5 linked regions of the Rattus norvegicus genome follow. Each later gene encodes a partner of the first gene's protein in a complex. Links are inferred from orthologs where the notes say so. Each region holds a gene or a part of one and is shown on either strand. Other genes may lie near its edges.

Region 1 (3,476 bases):
TTCCAGCCCTGCAAAAGAAGCCTGAAGATACAAACAGACGCTCAGCAGACATGTGGAGTTTTGCCGTGCTTCTGTGGGAACTGGTGACACGAGAGGTGCCCTTTGCTGACCTTTCTAATATGGAGATTGGAATGAAGGTGAGCACAGAACTGCAGATACTTGTGTGGGGATAGTGGTGCTGACATCACTGTGGTAAGCCCTTCCTGCAGTGTATACAGATCTATAGTAATCCTACCATTCAAGGGTCAAAGGCTTTTGCCCATATGATGAACTCAAATTCAGAAGCTCACCTTGTTCTGTATAATTTGCAGGTGGCACTGGAAGGCCTTCGGCCTACTATCCCACCAGGTATTTCCCCCCACGTGTGTAAGCTCATGAAGATTTGCATGAATGAAGACCCTGCAAAGCGACCCAAGTTTGACATGATTGTACCTATCTTGGAGAAGATGCAGGACAAGTAGGACTTGAAGGTCCCTGCCCAAACTTCAGAAGTATCAGCATATGGCTGGGGGAATGCACTTCCCCGAAGCTGAAGATCTCTGGTTGCCTCCCCTGTCTCTAATCATGGTACTACCCCAGTTATGGGGCTTGTTCCCTGCTCCCATCCCTACCACTGTAGCCCCAGAGAGGGCTGGGCTCAGAGCTTTGTCACTTGCCACTTGATGTCTCCCAACATGGGAGGGATCAGCCCCGCCTGTCACAATAAAGTTTATTATGAAAACAGGCTCATGTGGGGACAGAGGGGAAGACAAATACATCTGGGTTGGGTGGCTCAGGTGAAGTAGTGCGGCTTCTTCACATTGATGCCATACTCGCTGAGGGCAGGGGTCAAGTCCTCCATGGTTAGGGTGTACTTGCGATCCTGGGGGAAAGAGGGAAGACCACCAGCTGAGCACAGCAAGTCCAGATTCCAGTCCTTTGTGGGTAACCCTGAGTAGGCCCAATACCTCCCCTAGGATGCTGCTTCCCCAAAAGGCTTTCAGGATAAGTTAAGTCTGTACTGCTGTGGAAGGCGAACCTCTCACACCTTGCTCTTGCTCCGGGAGCTGCCAGAGGCTGTACCCTTCATTTTGCAGTGCTGTAGGGCATCATTGGCAATATCTGAGATGAATTTCTGGGCAGCTAGTGAGATGAGCCGAATTCTAGAGAGGAAGGGGGTGGTGGTAATGAGATATTTAACAAACTCCACCCAGCACTCAACAGTCTAACCTCTGAGTTTACTCACATGCGTGGGTCTGAAGCTTCAAAGCCAGCACGGTTCAGGTAGTAACCAGTCACTGCATCCGGGATCTGAAAAATCAAATAGCCGTCATTATTAGCTCTGCCTACTGATGCGCTGGGTGGGGAGGAAGAATAAAGAGACAGCTTCCTAGTAGAGGACGCTTGAAAGCATGAAGGTGCGGTTGAAAGGCACGACAGCGAGGCAGGTGGCCTTGTACAGGCGGGAAGCCCACCGTAGGTGTATAATCCTCCAACTGCATCAAGAAGTCCACTAGTGGTGTGCTGGACACTACGGGCTTCACTTCTCCGTTGGCCGCGCTCGGTAGGGCGTAAACCCCGTTAGACATTGCCCCCTCAGGGGGAGCCGCGCCGCCTGCTGCCACCGAAGCTGAAGGAGAATCAACAACACAGGTGAGAAGCGCAGGGTCCCCCCAACCCCCGCTGCGGCACCCAGTCGGAGATTCCCCCCTCCCTCACCCGGCCCGGAGCTCACCCGGTCCGCGCCGCTCCGCGGGCTCCCCTGCCCGTGCCGCCACGGGGCCCGTGCCTGCAGTGGCGACTCCAGCTCCAGGGCCCCCTGCTGTCCCCGCGGGGCTGGCTTTGCTCTCCGCGGCCGTGCTAGTGGGCAGCGCAGCGGGAGCGGACACCGGGGGCGCCGGACCCGCGACCGAGGCGGCACAGGCTGGCGCCGCCTCGGGGTCCGCGCCGGAGCCGCTGCAGCTCATGGGGCTGGTGGGAAAGGCGGCAACCAGAGCTACTTCCGCTTCCGCTCGCCCAGGCGCACGTTGCGTGACGTCACAGTTCCCGCCCCACCGCTTTAGTCCGCCGCGGGCGACCTTAGGTTGGCTGTTGGCAGATTAGGTGTAGACTGGCAGAGGTAAACTGTGAAAGACCTAGCCTCCACCCTGCGGCTCAACCCTGCCCAGATGGGACCGCGAAGAATCCAGGACTGCACACTTCATTTCATCTGGGTGCGCAGATTTGACTTGGGGACTCATATGTCAGATACTTCATTACCAGTCTCCTTAACAGTCTTCATTCTTTGTCGCTCCCTTTCACTGTCTTTAAGGATTTTAGTGGATTTGGTGTGTGTCCCTCCCACCCACAACGGTCCTAGAAGCGTGCTGCTGTAAATGTAGAGATAGGTGTTTCACCCCGAAGAAATAACATGCCAAAGTCACATGTGAAGCACATTAGCAATTCAACAGTCATTTATTTAATTTCTATTTGCCAACTACAGGGTTGGGACCTAGGAATACAAAGTTAAGAATCAGATTCTAGTTCACTAGCACCAAGCTCTGGAAAAGGAAGGCAGACAATTTTAATACTGTATGGTTGTTTCCCAGATACACGTAGGTGGAGTGCAAGGAAGTAGGGAACTAACATCAGCTGCTTAATTCCAAGTGTCAGACATTAGCAATGTTTATTTCCCAATTTTGAAGGCAGGTTTCAATGTCCCTGACTTTTACCCAGTAATCTTTGAAGGGTTTGCACAAATAAATATACTGTTTGGTTTAGAAGATGACTTACCCATGGTCAAGGATGCTGAGGGGCTTTGGAAGGCTCTCCCCTACCCAAGTACTTCCTGCAGTTTAGAGGAAAAAGGACATGGGCTCAAAGATAATGCAGTAGTGTGTGTGTGTGTGTGTGTGTGTGTGTGTGTGTGTGCGTGCGCGCGCGCGCGCGCGCGCGTGCACGCACGTTTGTGTATTTTCGAGACATGGTCTCACGTAGGCCTGGCATGCCTGGAACTCTTTGTATAGACCAGGATGGACTCAGAGAGGCTTGCCTGGTCTCTGCCTCCTAAGTGCTGGGATTAAAGGTGAGCATCACCACGCTAGCTGATAAAGACATATCTGGAGAAGTAGTCAGTAAAACTTGTTGAAGTTAGTAGGGAGGTGAAAAAAAATGAAAATTAAGAGTTACAGGTTTCTGGCTTGTTTGAAAGAGGCATTATATCACAGACTAAGAGATGAAATAGTTTAGGTCTGGGCTGGAGGGAGATGAAGTAATGAGGTATCTTACATTTGAGATGTCAGTGATCTATCAAGGGATGTTAATAAAATATGAGTAAAAACCTACGGATGGAACAATGAACACCAGCATCCCATAATTAGTTGAAAAGGAGGACAGTTAGTGTGGTCAAAGGGGGTATACACTGAGCAAAAAAGGAATGGGAAACTGACGGAAAGAACGAACACCCAGGTTCACAGAAGCTAGATGTTTGTGAATGTCTGACAGTTGAAATTAAAACC
Region 2 (4,308 bases), on another chromosome or scaffold:
AGGAATGGCTGGCTATGAGATACTTTTCTGTCATTTGATATCTTTCCTCCAACCCTAAACTGGACTCTGGAGTCCACTCTGAAATTGTAGAAGAACCCCAGGCTGTTCCCTCTGCTCTGTGTCTGATCTACTCATTACATTGCTTTGTTATTCCCGGTTTCTGTTTTGGAGTTTGAGTTAAGAGGGTTGAATTTATCCACACTTCATAGTTTATAGCCCTGCTAGCATTGTCCATAGTCCTTTGCTTTTTATTTTTTCCTTTATGCCCTATTTCTACCTTTTCTGTGCTGCCAGCTTTCTAATGCATTTAATGTCTCTGCTGTTTTGTTTGTTGCTGACCTTGAACTCAGAGATTTTCCAGCCTCTGCCTCCCCAGGCAGGGATTAAAGACGTGTGCCATCACACTTAGCTCTTTGATAATTTTAAAATGTTTTACTTATTACTGTGTATGGAAGCCAGAGGACAGCCTTGTGGAATCTGTCTTCTTACCTTTCACTTTTTATATAGGCCCAGGGATTAAACCTGAATATTAGTCTTATTCCGTGAGAGCTTTCACTGACTGTACCATCTCTCCCGCACATCTTTTGTAATTAAAAAACCAAACCCAAACCCACCCCCCTCATAAAACCCAATGTACACACACACACACACACACACACACACACACACACACACACACACACACAAAATTACGGAGGCAGGAAAGATTGCTCTGCAGCTAAGAGCATTGGCTGCTTTTCCAAAGACTTGAGTTTGATTCCCAGCCCCTACATAGCGGTTCACAATCATCTAACTCTAGTTTCAGGGAATTAGTTGCTCTCTTCTGGCCTCTTTGGCGCTGCGAACACATGGTACACATGCGTGTCTGCAAAACACTCATATACATAAAGATTATATATATATTTTTAAAAAGTATATCTATGTGGGCTTGTGTACTTGAATGCATCAGCCCCAGAGGCAAAAATTCATCATATTCCCCTGGAGCTGGAATTACAGGCATTTGGGAGTCTCCATTAGTATGCACAAATTTATCATTTATGATTTCTGAGATATGGGCTCATGAAGCTTGAGTGGTCTCGAACTCTAAGCTCTCTTGCCTCGGCCAAGTGCACGGAATTTTTTCGGTATAGTACACCACGCCTGGCATCTTTGTAATTTTTAATCCCTTCTTCAGGATTCCACGCCTAAGTACGCGTCACTGATTTTCAGCCAATCTCAAGGCCGGGGTTAGGAGAATGAGAGTGCACACCCATCTGCGCAACTCCGGCCAGGCCGGAAGTGACGCACATATCTTATAAATCTTGCGAGCCGCCCTTGGGCGGGCTCAGAAGGCTGGCGGGCTGCTAGCATGGCAGATGAGGAGGAAGATCCCACCGTGAGTGAGCGCCCGTCACAGCCTGTTTCCTCACTCCCTCTGGCTCACTAGCGGAGGCAGAGTCTGACCCTCCTGAGCCTTAGGGAATCCCGCCGAGAGTTCGGGGTCTCCGCGGTGTTTTCCTCTTCCTTCGGTTTACCTTAGTCAGTGCGTGGGGCAGGAAGGGAAGGAAAAGTAGACAGGATCTCCTTTTGATCTGGATCTTCCTGACACTGAGAGTCTAGAGAGTCATAGGAGATCAAAGCAAATACTGCGGAACCAGCAGCCCATCTGCTAACAAAACTAGTGAAAATAGTGGAGAAAAGATGAACTAAAGTCAGGAAGTTTGAGATCCAGATTCTCCTTTGGAGTTATTTAACTTAAGGCATCGGTTTTCTTGTCGTGAGATAGGGTCAAGCCCAGTTAAGGAAAGTTTTTAGCCCTGTATTGACAGGTGCTTAGTAAATGTTGCTTCTGATGGCAGCAGAGAGTAGATTTTAAACTATCAGGTCTTTTACAGTAGTAGCATTGCTTAGCAGTATGACAACTAAATGGGCTAAAACCAAACCCAGAACCTGACGTCCATTTGAACTTCACACACACACACACCCCGGGTAGGGTTGTTAGTTAGGAGCCGTAATAAAAGACTTCTTGCACGACTTGAGAAGTGGAATAGGACATAAGAGCCCTCTGATGCTAAGTTTCTATGACTTTGTGCTGTTTGCCTTAGCTTACCACTTTTGAAAATGCAAAAGGGTCACTGGGCATGGTGGTGCACACTTTGAATCCCAGCACTCAGAAAAGGATCTCTGAGTTCCAGGCAGACGGGCACATACCTTGTCTCAAAAAAAAAAAAAAAAAAAAAGTCTAGAGATTTTGCTTTAGTGCATCTGGCTACCTACAGCAGTTAGACCCCTTTTTTGGCCTCTACGGGCATTTGCAGGCATAGTCAATGTAGGCACACACAATACATATAAATAATAAATGTCTTTCAAAAAAAGATGAAAAGGGCACTGGAGTGTAGCTCAGTGGTCAATTAACTGTTTAGAATCGTGAGCTCCTAGGTTCAATTCATAGCACTCAAAAGAGAGAGCAGGAGGAGACTCTGGAGAATATCACGTGCACTGCCATCATTTGACATTTCTGTATTTTTAAATTTCTAGTTTGAGGAGGAAAATGAAGAAATTGGAGGAGGAGCAGAAGGTGGCCAGGGGAAGAGAAAGAGACTTTTCTCTAAAGAACGTAAGTTGTACTTTCCAATGCTTTTATTACAGGTGGTGAGAGCTTTTAAACATGTCCTTGGAGAGTAGGTACATTGCTCTGCATATGTTTGCTTAGAGGGACAGTGTTCTCAGACTTGCCTGTAAGGTTGTTTTTATTCCTGTTTGTTTTTGCTTTTTTTTTAAAAAAAAATTATTTTATGTATATGAGTACCAGAAGAGGGCATCAATTCCATTACAGATGGCTGTGAGCCACCATGTGGTTGCTGGGAATTGAACTCAGGACCTCTGGAAGAGCAGTTAGTGCTCTTAACTGCTGAGCCATCTTTCTAGCTCCCCTTGTTTTTGCTTTCTTTTTTTTTAAAGATAGGCTCTGCATAGGCTTGGCTATATTGGTGCTCACTGTTTAGCCCAAGCTAGCTTTGGGTGGCGGTAGTCCTCCTGCCTTAGCCTCTCAAGTATTGGGATTGCCGGTGTGCCTCCTGTGGTTGGTATAAGTCTCTTTATCATGTATACTAATTCTCTCTTTGTGACGTAAAATAATGAATGTGATTCCCCCCCACCCACACATACACTTTGAGGTGGGTTTTTTTTATTTTATTTCTTTTAGTTTTTTTTTTTTCCTTTTCTTTTTTTTTTTTTCGGAGCTGGGGACCGAACCCAGGGCCTTGCGCTTGGTAGGCAAGCGCTCTACCACTGAGCTAAATCCCCAACCCCTCTTTTAGTTTTTTTTTAAGATTGATTGATTGATTATAATTACACTGTAACTGTCTTCAGACACACCAGAAGAGGGCACCAGATCTCATTACAGATGGTTGTGAGCTGCCATGTGGTTGCTGGAAATTGAACTCAGGATTCCTGGAAGAGCAGTCAGTGCTCTTAACCACTCAGCCATCTCTCCAGCCCTCTTTGAGGTTTTTGAGACAGGGTTTTTCTGTGTAGCTCTGGCTGTCTTAGAGCTCATTCTGCAGATCAGGCTAGTTTTGAACTCACAGAGAGATACATATGCCTCCACCTCTGCCTCTGCCTCCTAAGTGCTGGGATTGACACTGTGAACCACAGCCACCCAGCTGAGGCAGGGTTTTTATATCCCAGTATGGTTTCAACCTTGGTATGTAGATGAGTATGACCTTGAACTTCTCCTGTCTGTATCCCTCGTGCTACACATAGGCCCATATGTCATGATTCCCAGTTTGTTTAGCTAAGGATTGACCCTAGTTGTGTGTGTTAGGCTAGCACTCAGCTACTAACTGAGCTACATTCATTGCACCGCTGCCCCTCCCCCTTTCTGTTTTTTTGTTTGCTTTGTTTTTGTTGTTGTTTTTCCCTTTCTGTGTTTAGCAGGGTCTCATGTACCCTAGATTGGTCTTGTATTTATTACGTAGCTGGGGATGACTATGATGTTATATTCCTCTTGTGTCCACCTTTCAAACGATGTAAGTTGAGGCTTTGGACTAAGGCACTGATCAGGGCAAGAAAGTGAAGTCTGGGGTACTAACAGTGTCGTTAACCTTCCATCATACTCCTTAGGCAGACAAGTTAAATCCTTAGAGCAGCAGGGTGAGCTGTTTCCTCTTGTCATGCCAATACTAATTCCTGAGAATGCCCTCTCCATCCCCGTGCCCAGGGACCTTGTCTGAGCATTGAGAAGTGTAGCAGCATAGATTTATAAATGCCTGGATGCAGTGGGATCGAAAAATTCTAGAAAACTGCAAGGCAGCCTTTAACTGTCTA
Region 3 (3,203 bases), about 86 Mb from region 1:
CACTGATCTAATGGGGTTTACTCACTGGATATAACTGTATCTTGTCAAGAACACAAAGTCCAGCAAGCCGTATTTTCATGCTATTCAGGATTAACTTTTGGAGAAGATAATTCACAGCTGTAACTTGAAAATGTGAGAGGGGAATATTTCTCCCTCCAGGGTCTACACCGAGGGCCCTGCTTCCTGTTACTCTAAAGTCCCCTTTGAAGTAATTTTTGTTAGAAACTATGTGGTTGCCCAAATTATAGGAAAATGGTTTTCTGTTCATTAGGAGTGGGGAGGTGGGTATAAAAGAATAAGCGTTTATATGCTGGCTGGAGAAATGGCTCAGCAGTTGAGTTCTGACTGTTCTTCTAGAGGACCCAGGTTCAATTCCTGGCACATACATGGCCGCTCACAACTGACTGGAACTCTAGTTCCTTGGGATCTGGCGCCCTTACACAGACATGCATGTAGGCAAAACACCAATGCATATAAAATAAAAATAAATTTAAGTCAGACAGTTATCAGTGCACACCTTTAATCCCAGTACTTGGGAGTCAGAATCAGGTAGATCTTTGAATTTTGAGGCCAGCTTGGTCTAAGGGTAAGTTCCAGGATATCTAGGACTATACAGAAAAACCGTGTCTCAAAACAAACAAAATAAAACCAAAAAAGCTAATTTATATGCCTGTAATCCCAGCATTCGGGAACTGGGCATGCTGGCACGTCTTTAGCCCTAGCACTTGGAAGGCTGAGGTAGGGGGATCTCTTGAGTTCAAGGCTAGTCAGAGTGAATTCTACATAGTGAATTCCAGGACAGCTACAAAGTGAGACCCTGTCTCAAACTAAATAGGAGAGTGAGTTCACAGCCAGCTTGGGCTATACCAGACATTATCTCAAAAAAGAAAACATTAGTCCCACTTACTCTTTCCTTCCATTAGATAACAAGGAGGAACCATTTGGAATTGACTCTCACCTGATACACCTCTATTTTGGGTTACATATTATTATTTAAATTAATATTTTTATTTTCAGGCTTTGGGCTACAGATCACTATCAGCCTTTAAGGATATTCGCTGGCCATCTTGCTGATGTGAATTGCACTAGATTTCATCCAAATTCCAACTATGTTGCTACGGGCTCTGCAGACAGAACCGTGCGGCTCTGGGACGTCCTCAATGGTAACTGTGTAAGGATCTTCACTGGACACAAGGTATTTCACACCCTCATTATTCCAGCACACAACGATGCTTTCCAAGTTGAAATATTTAACCAGTAGCATAAACTCTTTAAAGATAACAGTCATGCTATTAAACTACAATTCTACCTTGCTCTTATCAGATACTTAATTCTCCTTTGTTCTTTTTTTTAGGGACCAATTCATTCCTTGACATTTTCTCCCAATGGGAGATTCCTGGCTACAGGAGCAACAGATGGCAGAGTACTTCTTTGGGATATCGGACATGGCTTGATGGTTGGAGAATTAAAAGGCCACACTGATACAGTGTGTTCACTTAGGTTTAGTAGAGATGGTGAGATTTTGGCATCAGGTAAATAATGTCTTTGGGGTAAAACAAAACTCGGTGAACACAAAGTATCGTGAGACTCCTGATGTGACAGCTGCACACTAATGGTTTCCTTTGGCGTCTCTTTTAGGTTCGATGGATAACACAGTTCGGTTATGGGATGCCATCAAAGCATTTGAAGATTTAGAAACTGATGACTTTACTACAGCCACTGGGCATATAAATCTACCTGAGAATTCCCAGGAGTTACTGTTGGGTACATACATGACCAAATCAACACCAGTCGTACACCTACATTTTACAAGAAGAAACTTGGTTCTAGCTGCAGGAGCTTACAGTCCGCAATAAACCAACGGTATTAGAGACCTTTTGGAAGCTACTGTTTGGAAAAGGGAGACTAAAAGCAAATACCTCAGTGATTAGTATTTAAGCTACAAAGAATGTTTTTGTCTACATGGATCTGGAAGTATGCTGCTTGGAAAATCTGAACAGGACAGTTCCACGTTTCTATAGCAACCACATTTAACTAATTTCCGTTAGTTGAATAAGAGGTATTATGTTCGTGGAGAGGACATTATGGTGCTTTGGATTGTGTGGAAACTATGCATTTTTTTGTTCAAATGCTATTTTAATTTATTATGTCTAGAAAAAAAATCAATTTGATTTAAACAATTCATTCTGCTTCAAGATTCAAGTTAAGAAATATAGTACCATCTTGAGTAGCTGAAGAGTTCTATGAGCATGTGTGTGTCTGCTGTAAATGACGTTATTGTACGGCACTCAAGCAGTGTGTTAAATGACCACTAACATGCTTTTCTTCGCCCGTGATTAGCGGGCTGTATGTAACTGGGTAGGAGATCACATTTCCTAAGACCTAGATGTATAACCACCCACAACATCTCAGCTCCTACTGTGTAAGTTTGGAGTGCAATCAAACACTTAGAAAACAGGTGAAGAGGTTTAGATTCCATTCTACTTCAGCTAACGTGGCTACATATGACCTAGTACACTTGAAGTCAGACAGACATTTCAGTTGCTTACCTCCAGTACTGAGCCTTGCTTTGGAAAACTAAGAGATTTAGACCAAGTCACTGCCAGTTTTTGCCTTTGTTGCATTTTGTACAGTTTTATATTTTTGATATCTTGTAAATAAAGACAACCAGCTTTTCCAGGTTCATAATTTATTGTACAAATTGAGTATTACATGATGAGTTCACATCAGCTTCTTCAGGCGTGGGACTTAACAGATAAGGCCAGACATTTCAAAATCCTATAAACAAAGCAAAAACAGTTTGACACACAACGTTGTACTCTATTTTTCAACAATCAGTAATTACCACAAGTCTCTGAAGTAAAGTGTACATTCACTAAGGTTCGTAAGTAGGGCATATATAATATATGTGTGTGTTTGTATGTGCATACGCATCTCCCTCAGGCTGGTAGTTTGATGTTCCAGTTTTAACAGTTTTAAGTAGTTGTTGAAACTGCCAACAATTCAGTATAGCTTTAAAAGCAAACTACTGGAAAAAAATTACTACTGGAAAAAAATTGAGTATACAGAGTAACACTTAAATGTTTGTTAATTTTATGTGTTCTGCCTGCACGTGTGTATGTGCTACTTGTGCGCTTGGTGCCTAATGACATCAGAAAAGGGTTGTCAGATCCCCTAGAATGAGTGTGAACCAACATGGGTGC
Region 4 (3,710 bases), on another chromosome or scaffold:
GCTGCCCCCTCCTAGCTGCTCACCAGGCACTGGCTTGTGCTCACCGCCATTTCTGGCAAGTGTGGAAAGAAGGGTGTTGTGAGTGAAGCTGGATAGGTGAGGCAGAAGCCTGGCTCCAGTTAGAGATTGGTAGAAGAGATGTAGCTCTCATTTTGTTAGTTAATTAATTAATTTTAAAAATGTTTTGCTTTATTTTTGAAATAAGGACTCATTATGTAGCTCTGGCTGTCCTGGAACTCACTGTAGACCAGGCTGGCCTTGAACTTACAGAGATCTTCCTGCCTCTGCCTTCTGAGTGTTGGGATTAAAGGTGTGTAACACTATGGTATGGGCTTAAATCTTAGAATTCTGACCTCTTCCCTTCCCTGTGGGTTCATATAGCCTTTCAGTCTAGAGCATTCAGAGCTAAGTATAGGAACTTTATGATTAGAGTCATCCAGAAATGTTAATTCCAGTGTCAGCTTTTTGTGCAGTAGGAGGAGTGGTAGCTGAATGCCAGCCTCACTAGCTGCTGAGCCCAACACGACTGGGAGCTCTGTCCCAGCTCTTTCCCAGTCTACATTGAGTCAGAGGCATATGACAAACTGGTAGCCATATGTCTAAGACTCTCTCACTGCGTCTGGATGGTATCAAAGACATTTTTTTCATGGCCCATTATTACCTAAATTTTTGTCATTTGGATGTAAACATGTATAGAATTTGCAGGAACTCTGTCATCTGGCTAAATGCTGCTGTAGATGGACAGGGTACTGTGGGTTCAGTAATGTTCATGGAAGGCATGACTCTTGTTTTTTCCTTCTTTCAAAAATAGTCTCGATCCAGACAAGAAGACCCAGAGCAATTAAGGTTGAAGCAGAAAGCAAAGGAGGTGAGTTTCTCTGTTTGGCCTCTACTGCACTTGCAGTTCGTGGTCATGCTTGGTGCCCACATAAAAGACAATACTTAGAAACCTGGCGTTTGGGGCTGGGGATTTAGCTCAGTGATAGAGCGCTTACCTAGGAAGCGCAAGGCCCTGGGTTCGGTCCCCAGCTCCGAAAAAAAAAGAACCAAAAAAAAAAAAAAAAAAAAAGAAACCTGGCGTTTGCCAGTGTGGGCATCCATTGCTCCTTTGTCCTCTTGGGGGACCCATCAGCCCAGGCTCTTTCTGTGCTGTCTGCATTTGGCTGGAGAGTACCTGTCCCTCTCTGTGAGATTAGGCTCCCTAAACCCCTTCTAATTGTCTGAGCATTTTAAGGTAAGCTTCTGTTTAAAAAGTCTTGTAAATATTTTTGGTTACAGACATGTCCTTAGTTTTAAAAGCCTCAACTCTAAAGAAGTTATGACTTAGGAAACTTGAGAAAATTCTTGGTAGCTGTTGCTACATTTGCAGTAAGACTCTCGAAGCAATGAGTTTTGTTTCCTTCCCAATGAAGATGCAGCAGCAGGAGCTGGCACAGATGCGACAGCGAGATGCCAACCTCACTGCACTGGCAGCCATCGGGCCCAGGAAGAAGAGGAAGGTGGACTGCGCTGGGCCAGGATCGGGAGCAGAGGTATAGCAGAACACGAGGCCGAGGTCTGGAGGGTGTGGGGAGTGCCTTCCTTCAGTAGGCAGGGGAGTTCCTGGCCTTCCGTAAAGGTGTGGTCTTGGTTGGACACTTGATTTTCAAGTAGCCTTTTTGTGCATATAACATGAGCTAAAACACATGGTCGGCTCTGCGTGGTTCAACCTGACGGAAACGCATGGGGTGGAATTCAGGATTGGCTCTGGTGGAGACAGTGTGAGGCCATCTGTAGGGTGTGTAACTGAGAGAAGTTCTCACCTGTTCACTGGGCCCAAAGTCTGAGTGTCTTATGTGCTGCCCTAATGCTTTATGCTTTAAACCATTGTCGTTTGCATTTAGAAGAGCAGTGGCAGACCTGCGTGTCCACTCAGTGGTCGTCACTGCTGCTGCTGAGGATGCTGGGTCCATGTGTCACTCGCATGTGCACTCTGCACTGGTTATAGAGTTCTAGGGTGCAGGTGCGTGTTGTCACTTTTCCTGTCCTTGCCTCTGTGTGGTAATCTGGTCTGACTGCTGACCGTTGGGGCCTTTCTTTAAGAGATTTTCCGTGTCTTAGGGTCAGTCTCTGGGCGGTCAACTTGTTTCTTCCATTTCCTGAGCTGCTTAGACTCACATGTGAGACTGCCTCAGTGTACATTTGCACCACATTGGCCATTGTTTTCTTCAGGTGTGCTCTGTTCCCATTTCTCTTCCTCTTGGTCCCCAGTCACACATGCACTGGACCGTGCTGTGGTCCCAGTCACACATGCACTGGACTGTGGTACTGCTCGTGTTCATTGCATCACCGATTTCCTCTGTGCCCTTCAGACTGGGTCCTGTTCCTCGGCCAGATTGGAGTTGTGCCAGCTCCTGTTGGCTGTTGAGCTCCAGTGCAGTTCCCATTTACAAAACGTTGATTTTAGTTGAGCGTGCCTAGAGCAGTGGGTCTCCACCTGTGGTCAAGACCCCTGTGGGGTTGCATATCAGATACCCTGCATGTCAGCTGTTTACATTAGGATTCATAGCAGTAGCAAAGGTACAGTTATGAAGTCACACTGAAATAATTTTATGGCTGGGGTCACCACAGCATGAGGAATGTTCTATCTATAGGCTATGGATTTGCAAGCATCCCTCTAGTGAGTAGCAGACTTCCCCTGTCTGCCACTTTATGATGGCTATAACTCTCCTATGTTGTTGAACATATATATTGAAGCTTCCAGCCTCGGTTTCCCCTCACTGTTCTCCTTTCCCTGTTTCAGTGCATGTCTAGTGCCTATCACTGAATGCTGGGCATCTTTGATCAGATGTGATGAGGCCCCTGGGTGGTTTTCCACACTCTGAAGAATGTGGGCTGGACTTGTTTCAGTTTATTCTGTTCCTATGGCTCTGTGCAGACGTGGGGCATTTTTTTTTCTAGTCTAGTATAACACAGCACCCCTGTCTGTGTGTTTGTGTTTGGCTATTTTTTACATGAGTCTTAATGGAGAATGACCCTTCATCCTGGCGAAACTTAGCTAAAACCTTGGTTGAACTCTCGTGTTGCCACCAGGCCTCAGTCTATTTTGCCTTTATCCCCATAGAAACTGCTGTCTGTTTTGCTTGGGCAGTTCTGTCCTGCTGTGAAGCAAGCAGATTGGGTCAGCTTAGGGTAGTGGCTTCAGCAGGTCAGTGCTGTCCCTGCCAAGGACTGCTGACCCATCTCCAGCCCTGGAGCCAGCAGTGACTCCCTGTGCAGCAGTCTTTGGGTGTGGAGACTATACCCTAGAGGTACAGGGACATCCCTCTCAGTTCAGGGGTAGGTAAAACGTCTGAGTGTGGCATAGGAAGAAAATCTCAGCCAGAATCTTTATGTAGATGTGTTCTCTGAAAAGCTGCAGCAACTGGGTCTACTGTTCAAGTATACAGGCCTCCAAAACTCACACAGAAGTGAGGCCAAGAAGTGAGTAAAACCTTGGGTAGCAACTTCACACTTTGAAAAGGACACCAGGGGAGTTAGAAGATACCAATGAACTTTTTCTGCTGCGTGTTTTTGTAGCTTGCTGAATTATTGTAAGGTGTAAGCCCTTGTAACTTATCAGCTGAGGCACAAAAAGCCAGGTTCTGTAGTGTGCACCACAGTCCAAGCACTGGGCAGGAGAACAGAACCCAGGGCTTGCTGACTGCAGTATAGCTGAGTCAGTGAGTGAG
Region 5 (4,375 bases), on another chromosome or scaffold:
GTGCAAGTCTTCAGTCTTCTGGCCCAAAATCAACTGACAGACTCTAGAAATGCAGATTTTTGAAGGGCCGATCACCCTGTCTTGGCAGAGCTTATCAGTCAACTATTCTGCATAATTTGTCCTTTTCTGGACAATATTAGTCTGCAGATGAAACAGGCAGCTTTGTGTAGTGGCTGCCTAGCCACAAAGTATTGCCTTACCTGAACAAATTCTTCATTAAATCTGCCAAAGGGGAACTGTTAGGAGCAGCTACGTCTCAACAAAAGATAAATAACTTTAAGTCTCAAATTTTGTGGATTTCTGACGTTTTTGAAGACCATCCATCTATATAAGACAATCTGGACTGTTGTTTTCATATCTTAATATTTTTTTTTTGGTTCTTTTTTTTCGGAGCTGGGGACCGAACCCAGGGCCTTGCGCTTCCTAGGTAAGCGCTCTACCACTGAGCTAAATCCCCAGCCCCTTCATATCTTAATATTATCTTGAAAGTGCTCTCACAAAGTCAGAGCCATGAATGTGCTATTTGGCCCTTAACTCACATATGTAATCAACTCAGAAGTTTGTATTGACATAATTAGAAGGACTGGCTCTAAACCTTGTACTTTTAAACTTTTTTGACAAATAAATTCTATACCAAAACAAAGATATGATTTTAGCTTAGTTACCAAATGAGATAATGACTCTACAACTCAATCTAGCTAATTCCTCCCTGTTAAATTACAACCATTTCTAAGTTCCTCATAAAAACAACTTTAGAATAACTGCTTTCAGCCCCCCAAAAGTCCAGGGAATTGGGGCGACGACTCCTCCATAACTTCCTCAAGCTGTACATGGGCGTTGAGCTATCCTTGGGGGTAGGAGGCAGGAAGAATGAAGCAAATGCTGAGCAGATGTGTCCTGACTGGACCCAGCCGAAAGTCCTTGAGACCAGGAATCCAAGGAGGCACACAATACAACAATCAAGACAAAATATAACCATAATATATATAACCATAAAACTCAAGGTCACGGGCTGGAGAGATGGCTCAGTGGTTAAGAGCCCCGACTGCTCTTCCAGAGGTCCTGAGTTCAATTCCCAGCAACCAAATGTAGACACCCCATCTCTGACTTCCTCACCAGCGGTGCCTAGGTATCCAGAGAGGAAACTGGGAACCACACCATTCAACCCAGACCCCTCTGTTCCCATTCTAGTTCTGTGGGTAGCAGTGCCTGACATCATCCAGAAGGGAAACATTCACTGTGGACCCCCTGTTCTGGCTTTTGTTATGCCGCTCAGGGCTGGCATGATGGTGGCTGCTAGACACCTCCAGCAGAGGCAGAATGCAGTATGACATCAGAGCAATGTGAGTTCTTTATTTTTTATTTAAAAAGACAGCCAAGAGCTGGAGAGATGGCTCAGTGGTTAAGAGCACTGACTGTTCTTCCTAGCAACCACATGGTGGCTCACAGCCATCTGTAATAGGATTTGATGCCCTCTTCTGGTGTGTCTGAAGATAGCTACACTGTATTCATATACATAAAATAAACACATTAATTTTAAAAAAAGTCAGCCAAATCTTTATTGGGAAATGGGTCCCTAGGAAGTGAGCCTGGGGCCCTCGTTGCACATCTTGTTCCTTAGCACTGTTCCAAGAATTCCTTTTTTTTTTTCTTTCTTTCTTTTTTTCAGAGCTGGGGACCGAATCCAGGGCCTTGCGCTTGCTAGGCAAGCGCTCTACCACTGAGCTAAATCCCCAACCCCTGTTCCAAGAATTCTTTTTTTTTTTGGGGGGGGGGTTCTTTTTTTTTCGGAGCTGGGGACCGAACCCAGGGCCTTGCACTTCCTAGGCAAGCGCTCTACCACTGAGCTAAATCCCCAACCCCCCAAGAATTCTTCATCGCGTCTCGTGTTGTGGAGAACTAGAAAAGGTGTAAATATTGCAGGCCTTCAAAGGCATCGTCTGCTCTGAAAGCCAGGTCCACTGTGACTGAGGGCCTGTGGCTTTGCTACCTGTTTAGTGAACCATGTGCTCGACTCCTTGGCCTCAATGAAGTTGGTGGTCTTCTTGTGCCGGATCATGAGAAACACTTCCATCCCTGTGACTGACTGCTTCTGACTTGATGCACCAGACCTGAGCAGTGTCAACAACAGGCATTAAATATTTTAATTGTGTGCAGTGCAGACCTGGCGCAGACGCGGTCCACGCCCAGCGAAACCGCCCATTCGACAGCTGGGGAAGAACGAAGTGGGCACACTTGTAGGAGCTTCCCGAAGTGCTCGCCTTCCCAAAGATTTGGGAACCTCATGGGACTGGAAATGATCCTCATTGGTCCAGGCACTGTAGAAACAAAAGAAATGTGGGAACGGGATACTAGCTCTGTTCTGACGGGAGGCAGGTAGCCAATAGTTGAAGCATTGAATGAAATCGTTGGATATATTCTATTGGCACTAGAGATGCTTGCGGTACAGAAGAGAAGCCCAAGCAGTTCCCTGGTGGACCCAAGCCGCGGATCTCAGTTCTTTGGAAAATACGAGGTTGAGTCTCTGCCGGAAATTGCTCAGTCCAAGGCAGCAACAAGCAGCCGGACGGAGTTTTCGCCCCGTTCCGGACTTTGCGCTCAAGTTAACGGATTAATTGGCATTACATTTCCAGGAAGGAAGGAAAAAAAGAAGTCTCTCGGTAAACGAATTGTACGCCCTTTCGAACACGCTTCTACCCTAAAGCGGAGGATCTATACTTTTACATTTCTTTCTGGTTAAAACAAAGTCAGTATACAAGAAGACCCTGAGCGATCGAGACTCTGAAAATGACCCCTCCCAGGAGCCGTGGGCGTGACGTCATCGCGGCGCGACCACAAGCAATAAGGACCAGCTCCAAGCCATAAGCCTCAGCTATAATATAAGTCCCGCGGCAAAACTCGCTGACCCTCACTCCTTCGCCCGGCCGCGCTGCCTTCGCCTCTAACCCCCTCCTGTCGCGATGGAAAACCTTGGAGAGTCGCCCACGGACAAAGGCGGGGAGTCAGAGGAGTCGAGGGCTACTCCTGGGAACCCGTTAGCGGCAGACACTGAGGGAATCCCTGAGGAAACCGATAGGGATGGAGACGTGGACTTGAAAGAAGCCGCGGCAGAGGAAAGGGAGACCAAGAGTCAGGATGTCTCAGGTTTGACAGCAGTTGAGAGGGAAGACTCATTTCTTACTCCTGCAGCCAAAAAGCTGAAACTAGAAACCAAAGACAAGAAGGAGAAGAAGCAGAAGGTGGACGAAGATGAGATTCAGAAGATGCAAATCCTGGTCTCTTCTTTTTCTGAAGAGCAGCTGAACCGTTATGAAATGTATCGCCGGTCAGCTTTCCCGAAGGCAGCCATTAAAAGGCTGATCCAGTCCATCACTGGCACCTCTGTGTCTCAGAATGTTGTGATCGCCATGTCTGGCATTTCTAAAGTTTTTGTCGGGGAGGTGGTAGAAGAAGCCCTGGATGTGTGTGAGAAATGGGGAGAAATGCCACCCCTGCAGCCCAAGCACATGAGGGAGGCCGTGCGGAGGTTGAAGTCCAAGGGGCAAATCCCCAGCTCAAAGCACAAGAAAATCACCTTCTTCTAGATCTAACAGAGACTGTTCAAGACTTTCCGTATAGTTGGGCTTCTGTACTGAGGCTTTGTTGGTGGTGAGCCCAGGACACTTGATGCTGACTTTAATGTTTCTGTTACACCTACAAGGCACGTAGTGTGCCTCAGACTTGCCTTCACTCAGTCATAGACTGTCCTCAGGCATGTTGAAGAATTTCACAGACTCTTGGCTATTTTTAAGAAAAAATACACAGGGACTGTTAGTATCTCCTGGAGAGGGAGATGATTTCAGAGAAAAACAAGACAACTACAGTTTCACATTGAAGCCTAAAGTGGCTAAGATTCAGGTTGTTTCGAAACAAACTTTCTCAATAATCTGCTGTGAAGACAGTCACACCATAATTCGATTCTCACCGTTAACATTTCAGGTTGTCCTGTGTATTTTGTGAGGGATTATTAAACTTTTCCAACCTGTGTGGGAAACTTTGTTTTATTTTGTTGCAGACAAAACTTATTGTCCTTCCAATAAAACTTGGATTTTTTTTCCTTGTTTAAAAATACAAAACAAAACTTTTAATTGCCCTGGGGCTGAGTTTCTCTGACCCTGACCCAGAATGGTTGAATTCAATTTGACATGCCCTGTAGGAGGCCCCTTAGGGGGTTAATCTGAATTCATTAGCCTACTACTGGGCTTTGCCACACCTTATGCCTACTGCAGAAGGCTGAGCTTTCTTTTGGATTACTTCTAGAAAAACAACAACAACGAAAAACATTGTGCCTACGAATGCCTCGCCTATAATCCCTTTTCAAATGACATCTGACATT

What was found.
Region 2: Taf10 (region 1) and Taf13 share a complex: the UniProt entries of both Homo sapiens proteins name them as parts of the TFIID basal transcription factor complex. The link is inferred for Rattus norvegicus from reciprocal best matches to the Homo sapiens genes TAF10 and TAF13.
Region 3: Taf10 (region 1) and Taf5 share a complex: the UniProt entries of both Homo sapiens proteins name them as parts of the TFIID basal transcription factor complex. The link is inferred for Rattus norvegicus from reciprocal best matches to the Homo sapiens genes TAF10 and TAF5.
Region 4: Taf10 (region 1) and Taf4 share a complex: the UniProt entries of both Homo sapiens proteins name them as parts of the TFIID basal transcription factor complex. The link is inferred for Rattus norvegicus from reciprocal best matches to the Homo sapiens genes TAF10 and TAF4.
Region 5: Taf10 (region 1) and Taf11l1 share a complex: the UniProt entries of both Homo sapiens proteins name them as parts of the TFIID basal transcription factor complex. The link is inferred for Rattus norvegicus from reciprocal best matches to the Homo sapiens genes TAF10 and TAF11.

Annotation. Positions count from the first base shown.
Region 1 is NC_086019.1:169,506,248-169,509,723, forward strand, and holds Taf10 (transcription initiation factor TFIID subunit 10), read right to left. Parts: upstream 1,962-3,476; 5' UTR 1,947-1,961; coding exon 1,715-1,946; intron 1,610-1,714; coding exon 1,455-1,609; intron 1,291-1,454; coding exon 1,226-1,290; intron 1,143-1,225; coding exon 1,028-1,142; coding exon of another isoform or gene 1,022-1,027; exon of another isoform or gene 1,019-1,021; intron 863-1,018; coding exon 773-862; 3' UTR 693-772; downstream 1-692. Other genes in the region: Ilk (integrin-linked protein kinase), read left to right, coding at 7-137, 312-461. UniProt on the Homo sapiens protein: The TFIID basal transcription factor complex plays a major role in the initiation of RNA polymerase II (Pol II)-dependent transcription.
Region 2 is NC_086020.1:198,892,027-198,896,334, forward strand, and holds the start of Taf13 (transcription initiation factor TFIID subunit 13), read left to right. Parts: upstream 1-1,305; 5' UTR 1,306-1,348; coding exon 1,349-1,375; intron 1,376-2,517; coding exon 2,518-2,596; intron 2,597-4,308. UniProt on the Homo sapiens protein: The TFIID basal transcription factor complex plays a major role in the initiation of RNA polymerase II (Pol II)-dependent transcription.
Region 3 is NC_086019.1:255,912,583-255,915,785, forward strand, and holds the end of Taf5 (transcription initiation factor TFIID subunit 5), read left to right. Parts: intron 1-1,017; coding exon 1,018-1,195; intron 1,196-1,354; coding exon 1,355-1,532; intron 1,533-1,638; coding exon 1,639-1,856; 3' UTR 1,857-2,677; downstream 2,678-3,203. UniProt on the Homo sapiens protein: The TFIID basal transcription factor complex plays a major role in the initiation of RNA polymerase II (Pol II)-dependent transcription.
Region 4 is NC_086021.1:187,401,921-187,405,630, reverse strand, and holds part of Taf4 (transcription initiation factor TFIID subunit 4), read left to right. Parts: intron 1-811; coding exon 812-868; intron 869-1,412; coding exon 1,413-1,532; intron 1,533-3,710. UniProt on the Homo sapiens protein: The TFIID basal transcription factor complex plays a major role in the initiation of RNA polymerase II (Pol II)-dependent transcription.
Region 5 is NC_086028.1:74,278,219-74,282,593, reverse strand, and holds Taf11l1 (transcription initiation factor TFIID subunit 11-like), read left to right. Parts: upstream 1-1,535; 5' UTR 1,536-2,960; coding exon 2,961-3,584; 3' UTR 3,585-4,033; downstream 4,034-4,375. UniProt on the Homo sapiens protein: The TFIID basal transcription factor complex plays a major role in the initiation of RNA polymerase II (Pol II)-dependent transcription.